Linked DNA regions of Mus musculus. The protein of the gene in region 3 purifies or fractionates together with the protein of the main gene of each other region. This does not show direct contact. Links are inferred from orthologs where the notes say so. Each region holds a gene or a part of one and is shown on either strand. Other genes may lie near its edges.

Region 1 (3,714 bases), on a different chromosome or scaffold from region 3:
CAGGAGTTCAAGGTCAACCTAGAACTTCCCAGCTTGAGGCCGTGAGACATGAGACACAGTCTCAGAATATCAAAATAAATAAGCAAGTAAAGGAAAGTGCCTAGGTTTTAAGGATCAGAGCTGGGCTGGTTGGCAAGTGGAACCTCCGTCGGATACAATTATCTGCAGGTAGTTTGGTTTTCTCAAGTCGTTGGGGGAGGCAGTGACTCATGGTGACCATTTCTTCGAAGGCAAACTTTGCAAAACCCCAGATCATTTAGAGAAAAGCCCCTTCGACATCACTAAAGTTGCGAAAATGAGAAATCAACTTGCCCTTGAGGGCTACACAGTATCCACATTACTGATCAACCAATGGCCACCTATTATACTCGAAAAGCTATGCTATGCTCGCAAGGTTACGGGAAAGCCAGATTCCTAGGCAAGGGGAACAATGTAGCATCGTCCCTCACCAGCCTCAGCAACCTTTTCCAGGAGAGGCACCATCCCAAGGCAGGAACCTGCCTGACACCTCTCCCCGGAGAAGAAGCAGAGACCCCGTGCGAGCCAAGTTCATTGTGCCGAGCACTCAGACACCAGGAACCCACCCCAGCCCGAGTGTGGGACGTAGGGGCCATCTCCCATGCCCGCCGTGAATATTGTTACTCTCGCGAGAGCGCCAGCAAGGCGGGCCCGTACAGCTCCGGGATGTCAGCGGAGAGCTCCTGACCGCGCCCCTCTTGGCGCAGCTGGGAGAGAGGCGCGCGCAAGTCGGGGGAGGGAGCGGCCGATGGCGCGCACGCGCAGGAGAGCGAGCGGGCGAGGGGGGCACGCCAGGGAGCCGAGGGCGAGGGGCGGGGCCTTGCGTCGCGCCGCGGGCACGTCGTTGCGCGTCCTCAGTATTTAATGTCTCTGTGTTCGCCCGGCCTGGGCTAGCACGTGGGGGAGCGGCCGAAGCGCCGTGCAGCGCTGCGGGGCAGGGCCGCTGGACTAGGTGGGGGGCCAGGGGGCGGTGGCGGGAGGATTGAGTGCCTAGACGGTCGCCCAGGAGCAGGTAAGTGACGGCTGGCACGGGCACCCGCCCGCCGGGCCCGGAGAGAGAACGAGTTGGGGTGATGGGGAGCCTGGGGTGCAGGTGCAGGGTGCGACGCGCGCGCCAGGTACTCCGGGGACCGAGAGCCTTGTGCACCGCGCCTGCTGTCAAGCGGGCGGGTCTGTGCCTTGATGACCCGCGCGCCCCGCTGGTCTTTCCCGGTCCCAGGGCTGCTGCTGACAGATCGCGTGCGCTGAGCTCGGGGCGCTGCTTTAAGCCGCTGCTTTCCCCTCCCATCCCCCCTCACGTCACTGGCCTCTAGGATGGAGGTGAGGGCGCAATTCCCCGGGCGCTCCGGTGCGCCTCAACTTTCCCAATGCTGGCTCACCCTTCTGGGTAGCCTGCCCGAGCGCGTCCCAACCAAGGTCGTCTAGTCTCGCTAGCGTTTACTTTTCAAAGGTCGTGTGTACCCAGTTTACGCGTGGAGAGGAGGCACTGGGGCGGTCTCTGCCAAGGACCCAGTGCCCAAGGCGGGAGAGGAGGTCCTTGGGGACCCCTTCCCTTCCTAACTTTCTAACTGCTGGGCCCAGTTGACTCTGGGTTGGCCCGGCAGTGGTGGCAAACCGGAGCAGGAAGACACAATTCCTGGAGTTCAGTGCCGCGAATTATTGGAGCGGACTCTGCCGTTGTAGCGGGGAGAATGGGATGCAAGACAGGTCCCAAACCTTTTGGCGGTGGAGAGACCATAAGACCAATTAGGATCCGGAGGTCGTGAGCTTGGGTGTCCGAAGGGAATTAGAGTTTGTGGCCCCATAAGCATGTCCTAAGAGGTGGGAGACCTCTAGCTAGAGGTGCCCGCTGACTTCTTGCGGGGGTGGGGAGGTCCAGGGTCACGTGTCGCGCCCCACCTTTCTTTCCGTCCCAGGACAGTGATCTGGAGGGACTTTGCAGGGGTCATGGGGGGACTTTGCCAGGGTTATAGGTAAAAACCTGCGTAGAGAAGCCTCCATACGCGTAAAGGAGCCTACATTCTGGTGTCAACTACTGCTGTGTCCTATCTTTTCCTGTTTCCTTTCTCCGGGAGGGAAGGTGCTGATAGTCAGGGGCTGTGCAGAAGGGACCTCTGAGACGCCCTGTGCCTAACCGGACCTTTTCCCTCCGGGAAATGCCTCGAGCAACTAGTACCTTTCCACCCTTGGGCTGTGGTTAACACAAACCCGGTGGACTTCGCTCCAGGTGAGAGTGGAGGCTTCTCAAACCGGTAAGGTCGGGTGTATGTGTAGGGCAATTAGTAAGGTTTAAACTGCCTATCTTTCCGCTATTGAAGTCGAGGCTGCTTGGGGTTTAAATTTAACGCCTGCAGTGACAACAGGGTTGCTGGACCTAATGTAACCATCTCGGTTGGTGTGCTACCACCCTCTGTATCCGTGTGTTGCAATTACAATTGCTATTGCTTCGGGAAATCAATCTTACATGCTCATTTAACTGCAGAGTCCTTCCCAAATTAGTAACCGTGGGGTTTTTGGTTTTGTTTTAAACGCTTAACTTTAGAAAGCGAGGCTTAGAAAAGCGAGGCTTAGAGTCTACGGGCTTCCTACCCATTCCTCTCTTAAAGGCACAAAGCATCTATAAACTCTGTGAACGAGTTGCTCTCCTGCCAGAGTCTTCTCTGATTGGCATTTAAGTGTTTCACCTTCAGATTATTTAGGACTCTTTTAGAGCCCAAGGAACAAGTGAGATTATGTTTGGGGAGCTTTCTGGACTTGTTGTCGAGCCTTCTTTCGCTTCTAACCTGTTTTGTAGGTTCTGGGTAATTCCTGGGTGTAGTCTTGTGAAATAGAAAGAATGGCCTTGGGTTAGAGGACATTCTCCTACCCTAAGGGTGTATGCAAATCATTAAAGCTTCTGGTTAGGTTGTTAAATCAGAAGGCTTTGTTCTGTAGAGTGGGTCAGTAGCTATCCAACCCAGTGGGTGAGACCTGATGTAAATCTAGTGAGTTTGCCTCTACTTGGGGAGTTCTCCCATCTCCCAGCTAATTGTAGGAATTGCATTCACCCTTGGCCTCTGCTGGGTGACAGCAGAGATACAGGTATCAGTTGTCTGTTGCCTGCTCAGATGCTGGAAGTGATGTGTCTGAGCATCAATACTTTAAAACAATCTGTCTTGCTACCTGGTAACCCAGATTATATGTGGACCTGGGCCCCAGGCTGGTCATAGCTAGAGTTTGTGGAAGGTAGTTTTAGCTTCCAGTTTTCTTCTTCTCATCCTAAACATGGATGGAGATCATCATATTTAAGACTTGGGACTATTTGTAGCAGAGGATGGCCTAGTCGGTCATCAATGGGAGGAGAGGCCCTTGGTCCTGGGAAGGCTCTATGTCCCAATATAGGGGAATGCCAGGACAGGAATGGAAGTGGGTGGGTTGGGAAGCAGGGGGAGGGGGAGGGGATAGGGGATTTTCGGAGGGGAAACTAGGAAAGGGGATGACATTTGAAATGTAAATAAAGAAAATATCTAATAAAAAATGGAGTAATAATAAAAAAAAGACTTGGGACTATTCCTGGCCTATGCTAGGCACTTAAGTATGGTATCCCTCACTCCCAAGGAATCCGTTTGACTCAGTCATTTGATTAGATATAAAAGCACTCCCTCGCCTAGCCTCTGACCTAGTAACTTGGTTAGAAGGAAGACAAATTGGTGTATC
Region 2 (3,749 bases), on a different chromosome or scaffold from region 3:
CAAACTTTGCTTGCCTAGTGGCCTGGTGCTGTATACGACAGTGTGGGAGAAGCTGTCAGCGTTGCTGGAAACTGTCTCATCTCTGTTCTTTGGGGGAGAGATGTAGAGTATAAGAAGCAGGCTGCTGGAATGGCCACTTAGGGAGGATTTAGTCAGCCTATCGGTTGTGTGTTTGTAAGTACTGGGGACAGAACCCAGACCTTGCACACAGGGTATAAGTGCTTACCAATGGGTTATCTCCTGGTCCCATTTCATTTTGTATTGAGATAGGCTAGCCTTGAACTTCTGATCCTCCTGCCTCTGCCTCCCAAATAGTTGAGATCACAAGGATAAACCAGTTTGTCTTGGTAACGTTTTTCATTTTGAGACATGGTCTCATTATGCAGCCCTGGCCGACCTGGAATTTGCTTTATAACCTAGACTGTCCTGGAACTCACAGAGATCCACTTGCCTCTTCCTTCAGGGGCGGGGATTAAAGGTCTGCTCCACCACACCTCTGTGTGTGTGTGTGTGTGTGTGTGTGTGTGTGTGTGTGTGTGTGTGTGTGTGTGTGTGGTTTTGTTTGTTTTTAAATGACAGCACTCACTTGGTCTGATGGTGGATACTGTTTGTTTGTTAAGCGTTCTTAGAAAATGACCATCAGAAAATCTCAACTTGGAAAAAAGTAACAGCTTTTCAGGACAGTGCTCCCCACCTCCAATAACCAAAGACAATGCTGAAACAAACAAACAAACAAACAAACAAAACAAGGTTCTAGAAGATGGGGCAAAGAAGATGCTAGCCAACAAGCTGGAGTAGAATTCTCAGGAGTCAGCAAAGGGACAGTTTAATTATAAAAGGATGGCCAATTTAGGGAGGGAGAGAGCATACCCGGAAAGTATCTAGAGGTTTGAGAACAGGGGGAACTTTTTAAAACTCATCACAGTTTATTTAGTCATTATTTGTTTATCTATTTATTATCTCTCTGCGTGAGTGTGTGAGTGTGTGTGTGTGTGCCACAGCGAACATGTAAAGGTCGGAGGACAACTTGAGGGTGTCAGACTCTATCATGTGGTTCCCAGAATTGAACATAGGGTTTAGCAGCACATGCCTTTACCCGCTGAGCCATCTCTCCTGTCAGGGACTTCTTTAAGCTTAGAAACTGGGGAAGGTGACATTGGAATGCACAGAACGAAAAGGCAGTAGTGAGGTCTGGAAATGACAATAGTGCCAGGCTGAGGTCACAGATGGAGAACGAAGCGGAGATGCTAGAGGATGCAGGGCAGCTACGTGTGTAGCAGAAGGACCAAAAGCGCCTGGGCGGAGCAGTTGGCAGACAGCCTCGCGGGAGGCAGAACCTGGCCGCGTCTCAGCCACAGCCGCAGCATCTGGGTTGGATGCTCTTCCACGCTGGGAGGATGCGCCTGGGCAGCCGGTGAAACCAAAAGAAACCACGCAGAGATCATAGCAAGGGCACAGTGCCCAGGCCTCGGAACCATGAAGCGCACGGACAGCGGGTCCATCTGCCACCACGCGCCGCCGCCGTGCTGGGCTCACCACGCACCTCGCCAGTCTCCACGGCAGCCCTCCAGCCGGGAACGAAGACCCCCAGAGCGGGCTGGGAGCTGGGCGGTGGCGGCAGAGGAGGAGGAGGCAGCCTCGGCGGCACCCTGGATGAGGTAAGACGTGGCCAGCATCTGCCGCGGGAGCAGGGGAAGCTGCGGCGCTTGGGTGCTGGTGTGCTGTGGTACAGGGGTGCTGGTGCACGGTTCGCTAGACAGGGCTGGGGGGCTTGGCAGGAGATCTATGCTGTCACGGGAGGTTACTGGGGAAGGTTTGGCGAGCACGCTAGAGATGGGGGGCCCAGGAGCGAATAGGATCGACAGGACAGGGTTGAGCATAGCTGGGAGGTGCAGCTGATGATGCACAGGAGAAATGGTGGGAATCCAGGTTTCTATCCTAAGGTCTTTGCTTGATCTGTACCGATGTGGGTGAGGCTGGAGGCAACACCTGCTGGGCTGAGCCAAAGGAAAGGTGACTCAGGAGCTGGGCTAGTTAGGGGATTTGCAGAGCTCTCATCTTTGCCTTTTTTAGTCTCTTCTTCCTTGGATATTTATTTATTTGCCTTAGCTGGAAACAGCAGGGAGATTGGTGATGCCCTTTTCTTCCTTTGAAGCACTGGAGCCCGGCCTGGGCCTGTTGGCTGGATGCTCTGGGCCGCTAGCTCCACCTGAACCCAGACCCTTCCTCCACTCTGGCCTAGAAAACACCCGGCAGATTAGGTCCCGTGTTCGTCATGTAGCAACAGCAAGATGAAAATCTGTCATATTAATATTTCCAAAAGAAGAGACAGATTGTATGGCTGCCATTTTTAAAGTAAGCACGTCTTTGACATAGAATTTTTAGCTCCTCCCTCTGTACCCCCCTCCCTGCCCCCCCCCCCCCCCCCCCCCCGTGGAATGCCAGTACTTATCATTCAAATCGAAAGGCAATGGTGGGTTCAAGTCTTTACTTTGCCTTTAACTAACTGGGACTTTTCTAGGCCTCAGTTTCCTATGAATGGGATCGGGGTTTGGATTAGAAGAGTTTTGACCTCAGAGTGGAAGGGTTGCTGGGTTTGTATTGCATACTCCGGAGTCGGCTGGATCTGTGAACTAGAAAATAGAGTCTGTCTATTCAAAGAAACATAATTGCTTTCATTCATTGTACTACACCTATTTATGCAAGAAAATGTAGTCAAAGATTCGATTATACAGTAGTTAAAGGGATCATCATGTTTCTATTAAGAAATGCATAATAAATTATTGGAATTAAAGGATGAAGCAAGAGACATCCATATACATATATAGTGAAACTTTAGCCCAAATGTAATTATGTTTTAAAAATGTGAGTGAACTTTGACCAAAAATAAATCTGTATATTCACATACACATGCTTCTAAAATTTCATAGCTTCTCCCCTGCTCTCTATATAGTAGCGGAACTTTTTATCTGGAAAGAAACACTCATCATAGAGGGTGACCTATCTCACTGTCATTGACAATAGACATTTCGTAGGGCTAACTAACATATGTTTCTCTAAATTATGGCAGTAAGGTGTTGCAATATGATCTTCTTACATAGCCCAGGCTAGCCTCAAATTCATGATCTTCCTGCCTCAGCCCCCTCAGTTGCCTCAACTGATATTATAGGCTTGCACCCTGCTGTCCATATCTATGTAATGAGCCAGCCTGGGCCACATGGCAAAATTATGTCTCAAAAACGAAAAACAAAACCCCAAATCCCGTAAATAATTAAATAAGAAATCCTAATTATCCCATCATTGTTTATGTTAACTAAAAAGCAAATAACTGTAATTTCAAATAAAAATCAATAAAAAGCCAAATCAAAGCTGCGCAGTGGTGGTGCATGCCTTTAAGCCTGGCTCTCAGGAGGCAGAGGCAGGCAGATCTCTGTGAGTTTGAGGCTAGCCTGGTCTATAGAGCAAGTTCCAAGACAAGCAGGGTTATTTCACAGAGAGACTCTGTCTCTGAAAAAACAAACAAACAAACAAAACAAAAAAAAAACAGAACTAAAACAAAATATAAACATTCTAGGAGCTGGAAGCAGACTTTCCACAGCAGCTGTAAGAGCAGAGGTCTAATAGATGCTACTGTGTCAAAGGTTCTAATGGATGCTACTGTGTCAAAGGTTCTAATGGATGCTACTGTGTCAAAGGTTCTAATGGATGCTACCTTGTCAAAGGTTCTAATGGATGCTACTGTGTCAAAG
Region 3 (3,649 bases):
CTTCTGAAGTCTTTAGTTACTGTGTATGCCTTGTAGGGATTCCTTGTTCCAACGGTAACTCCGTTTGTATTTGCTGTGCTCTCTTTAGGACAGGGTGACCTTCAGGAGAATAATTGTAAAAAACAATGCCAAAAAGAGGAAGATGTACGAGAGCTTTATCGAGTCCCTGCCGTTCCTCAAGTCTCTAGAGGTGAGCTGAGCTGTCACTCTGCTGTGCTGGCTGCTTTGCTAGGAAGCACTCGTGTCCTGAAAAGTTCTTGTGACCGTCTTGTGAGGCTAGCCATGCTGGGAACCTGAGTTTAATCCCCATATGAAGGTGGGAAATGTCTCCTGATCTCCACACAGAGTGTGTGTTATAGTACCCTAAGAAATAACGATAATGAAGGTGGTAATAACGATAACAAGAGTTTTAAAGTATATTATATTTTACTATGAAAAGAACAGATGGCGATATAAGATTTTTACTGCTATTTCTTTTACTACATGTAACAACATTTTATCCTGCTTTTTGGAAATAAGGCTCTTTTTTGGACTTTATAGCAAGTCTACAGGAGCTGTTTATCAGATAACAAGTGTAAGCAGGTCAGCATCCACTCGGTTTTCTCCCCACTAGCACTCATGTGTCGAAAATCATCTCTACCCTGTCTTCAGAATATCTTCAGCATCCAATCATTTTGTTAACTTCACCAGCCCCACCTTCTGTCCGTATCTTCATTGCCTCCTGTATGACTTTTATCAGCCACCTACAGAAGAATCCTTTTAAGTTCCAGATCAGGGCAGTCTTGCTAACAACCTTCCCAGGACAGGATAACTTTGAAGAAGGCCACCGAGGTCCCTTGTCTGTACCTCTCAGACAACTTTGCTAACTGCTGCACTTCCACCCTGCCATAGACATTAGCTTCCTGCTGTTGCATACGCATGCCAGCCCTCCCTTCAGATCTATGCATGTGCTGTCTGCCTAGGACAGCCTCCCCCACAACTCCATGGCTTCTCCATGAATCTCCTTCATTTCTTAGCTCAAATGCCTCCTCAGTGAGACCACCTGTTTCTTATCTTTGAAGGTTCATGAAAGAACCGTTACCTTACAAATTCGGCTCTGCCAAAATTCATTGTGAAAGTGCTTTTCTAGACATTTTATAATAGATAAAGCCTCATATTTGAACTCTCTTGAAAGCGATTATAGAGAACTAGGTACATGTTCCCATGGTGTCGTAAAATAGCAAATGTTGGCGTGGTCGTGTCTCTGTGAGTCGCCGGTTTATGCCTGGGAGAAACTTGGCCATGTTGTGGAATGCGCAGACAGCTGATCTTCTTTAGAAACTCCTGTCCTCAAATAGAATGTATCAGGGAGGTAATCCAGTCAGATAGAGCCATGTGACGTGACAGAAAGCAACCCAGGAAGGGACTTTGGCAAATCGGAGAACATGTGCTCCCTCTAAGGGAACAGCTGCCATTCCACCATAGCTTTACTGCTGCCATATGGAAATTTGGGCTGGGGGTTGGCTGAGTCTTCTGGTATTTTACAGGAAACTAGAAATACGATTTTGTCTACTTCAGGATTCTAGCAGTTAATGTAGCAACTACACAAGGGAAAACAGTTGGGTTTATTTAACTATGTAGGCCGTCCCTTGTAAACATGTAAACCAGGTAAGGCTACGTGATTGGTCGGTGTATTATCAGGCTTCCCCAGAGGAACAGAGTTTATATCATACATACATGCATGCCTGCCACTTATTAGAGTGGCTTATAGGCTGTGCTCCCACAAGTCCAACAAAGCCTGTCTCCTAATGGAAAGTGCAAGAATCCAATAGTCCACTAGGATGGGTATCTCAGCTGGTCTTGAGTATACTCTAGAATCCTGAAGAAGTAGGCTCTAATGCCAGGCTGGGAATGGACTTGCTAGTGTGAGAGAGTGAAGGCAAGCAGGCAGAGGGAGCAAGAGCTTCCTTCTTGCACGCCCTTTATTTAGGCTGCAGCAGAAGCTGTGGCCCGGGTGAAAGGTGGATCTTCCCAGCTCAAAAACTGGATTAAAGATGCATCCTTCCACCTTAAAAATCTGGATTAAAAACGGGTTTTCCCATTTCAAGTGACATAAGGGAAAATAATCCCTCCCAGGTGTTTCCAGCCTCTTGGGTTTTAGTTAATTCCAGATGTAGTTAAGCTATAACCAGAAATAGACACCACAGTCTCTAACACGGTGCTCTTCTTTGTAGGTTTCTGAACGCCTGAAGGTGGTGGATGTGATTGGCACCAAAGTTTACAATGATGGAGAGCAGATCATTGCTCAGGTACGGTACTGAGCTGCCATTCCTTTAGGCTTACATTCCAGAAGGTTCAACTTTGTTTTCATAATTGGTACGCAGTATTAGATTAAATGAATATTTCTTCCACCAGACAACTTATCAAAAATGCTTTTGCAGCTGGTAAGTAATCTGGATGTTTTTGTTTATATAATTTATTTCTAATGACTGTGCATTAAACCATTACCTAGCTGAGTAGTTTGCAGTTTGTAACATGAAATCCGCATGTATAGTGGGAGTAAGATGTCTTGTGTAAGAGGGAAAAGTGGGGGCTATTCCATGAAATTACCAAGAACCCAGGTCCACAGGCAGATGAGTTTTGCGTGATTAGCTCTTGAGATCTGCTTCCAGATAACACTCACCAGAAGGAGTTCACATTGTACCATGTGCAAGCACTGAATGCATTAATAAGAATCCCCTCTAACCCTCATGTTTTTCTGAACTCCCAGTGGGCGCCAGTTGTATTACAGTACCTGCTAGCCAGAGAGCTCGTAGAAAGTAGGCTGTATAGACAGTTGAAGGGTGCGCATGAATGAGTGGGTTTCTAACGAGAGTTCATGCAAAAACCAGGAATACTGGGGGTGTACGTAGAGAAGGCGCCTTTCGTTCCCAGCAGTCTTTTCAGAGCCGGAAGTACACTGTCATAGACTGACATGTCAGCTTGGTGCCTGAAGGCCGTAAAAGCTCATCTATTGCTTCCGAAAGCTCCCAGTTGCTTTTGCTCCTGGCAAGTCTCTGTGCTAGTGCTAGTTGCCTTGGGTGGACACAGTGCTACTTTCCTAGGATTGCGGAATGACTGACGTAGCCTGCTGGTGGGAGGGGCTGCTGGGACACACAGCAGGGAACACAGAATGACTGACATAGCCTGCTGGTGGGAGGGGCTCCTGGGACACACAGCATCTGCTATCCTTTCTTGTAAACTGCTCAGCACAAAATTTTGAGGTTACTTGCCATATTTTCTGGTAGAGAATGTATTATTTCGAATGCCTAAGAAGTTACTGTAGAATTATCGTAACCTCAGGATGTAGTCTGGTCTATGACTTCACTTTACGGACTGGAACCTGTAGGCTGGCTTCAAAGGCATGATTTCAGAGATGCTGTGGAACTTGAACATTCACCCTGCATTTTTGTTTTAATAGGGAGATTTGGCAGACTCTTTCTTCATTGTAGAATCTGGAGAAGTGAAAATTACTATGAAAAGAAAGGTAAACAGCCCCCAAATTCCTCATATCCACAAGGAAAATATGGATTTTTTTTTTTAAAAAAGAACGATCTCAGACTTCAATGTAACTGACTTGTTGGCTCCTTAGGGACACTATGCCCCTCCTTAGAATTGGGAACAAAACACC

Evidence for each region.
Region 1: the proteins of Prkar2b (region 3) and Akap1 purify together in Homo sapiens (affinity purification with mass spectrometry; 3 studies listed by BioGRID and IntAct, counting the BioPlex papers as one, with this or other methods). This does not show direct contact. The link is inferred for Mus musculus from reciprocal best matches to the Homo sapiens genes PRKAR2B and AKAP1.
Region 2: the proteins of Prkar2b (region 3) and Pde4dip purify together in Homo sapiens (affinity purification with mass spectrometry; 4 studies listed by BioGRID and IntAct, counting the BioPlex papers as one, with this or other methods). This does not show direct contact. The link is inferred for Mus musculus from reciprocal best matches to the Homo sapiens genes PRKAR2B and PDE4DIP.

The regions. Positions count from the first base shown.
Region 1 is NC_000077.6:88,861,713-88,865,426, reverse strand, and holds the start of Akap1 (A-kinase anchor protein 1, mitochondrial), read left to right. Parts: upstream 1-840; 5' UTR 841-1,030; intron 1,031-3,714.
Region 2 is NC_000069.6:97,886,398-97,890,146, reverse strand, and holds the start of Pde4dip (myomegalin), read left to right. Parts: upstream 1-1,439; 5' UTR 1,440-1,476; coding exon 1,477-1,658; intron 1,659-3,749. UniProt on the Homo sapiens protein: Functions as an anchor sequestering components of the cAMP-dependent pathway to Golgi and/or centrosomes.
Region 3 is NC_000078.6:31,963,754-31,967,402, reverse strand, and holds part of Prkar2b (cAMP-dependent protein kinase type II-beta regulatory subunit), read left to right. Parts: intron 1-88; coding exon 89-190; intron 191-2,213; coding exon 2,214-2,288; intron 2,289-3,439; coding exon 3,440-3,505; intron 3,506-3,649. UniProt on the Homo sapiens protein: Regulatory subunit of the cAMP-dependent protein kinases involved in cAMP signaling in cells. Type II regulatory chains mediate membrane association by binding to anchoring proteins, including the MAP2 kinase.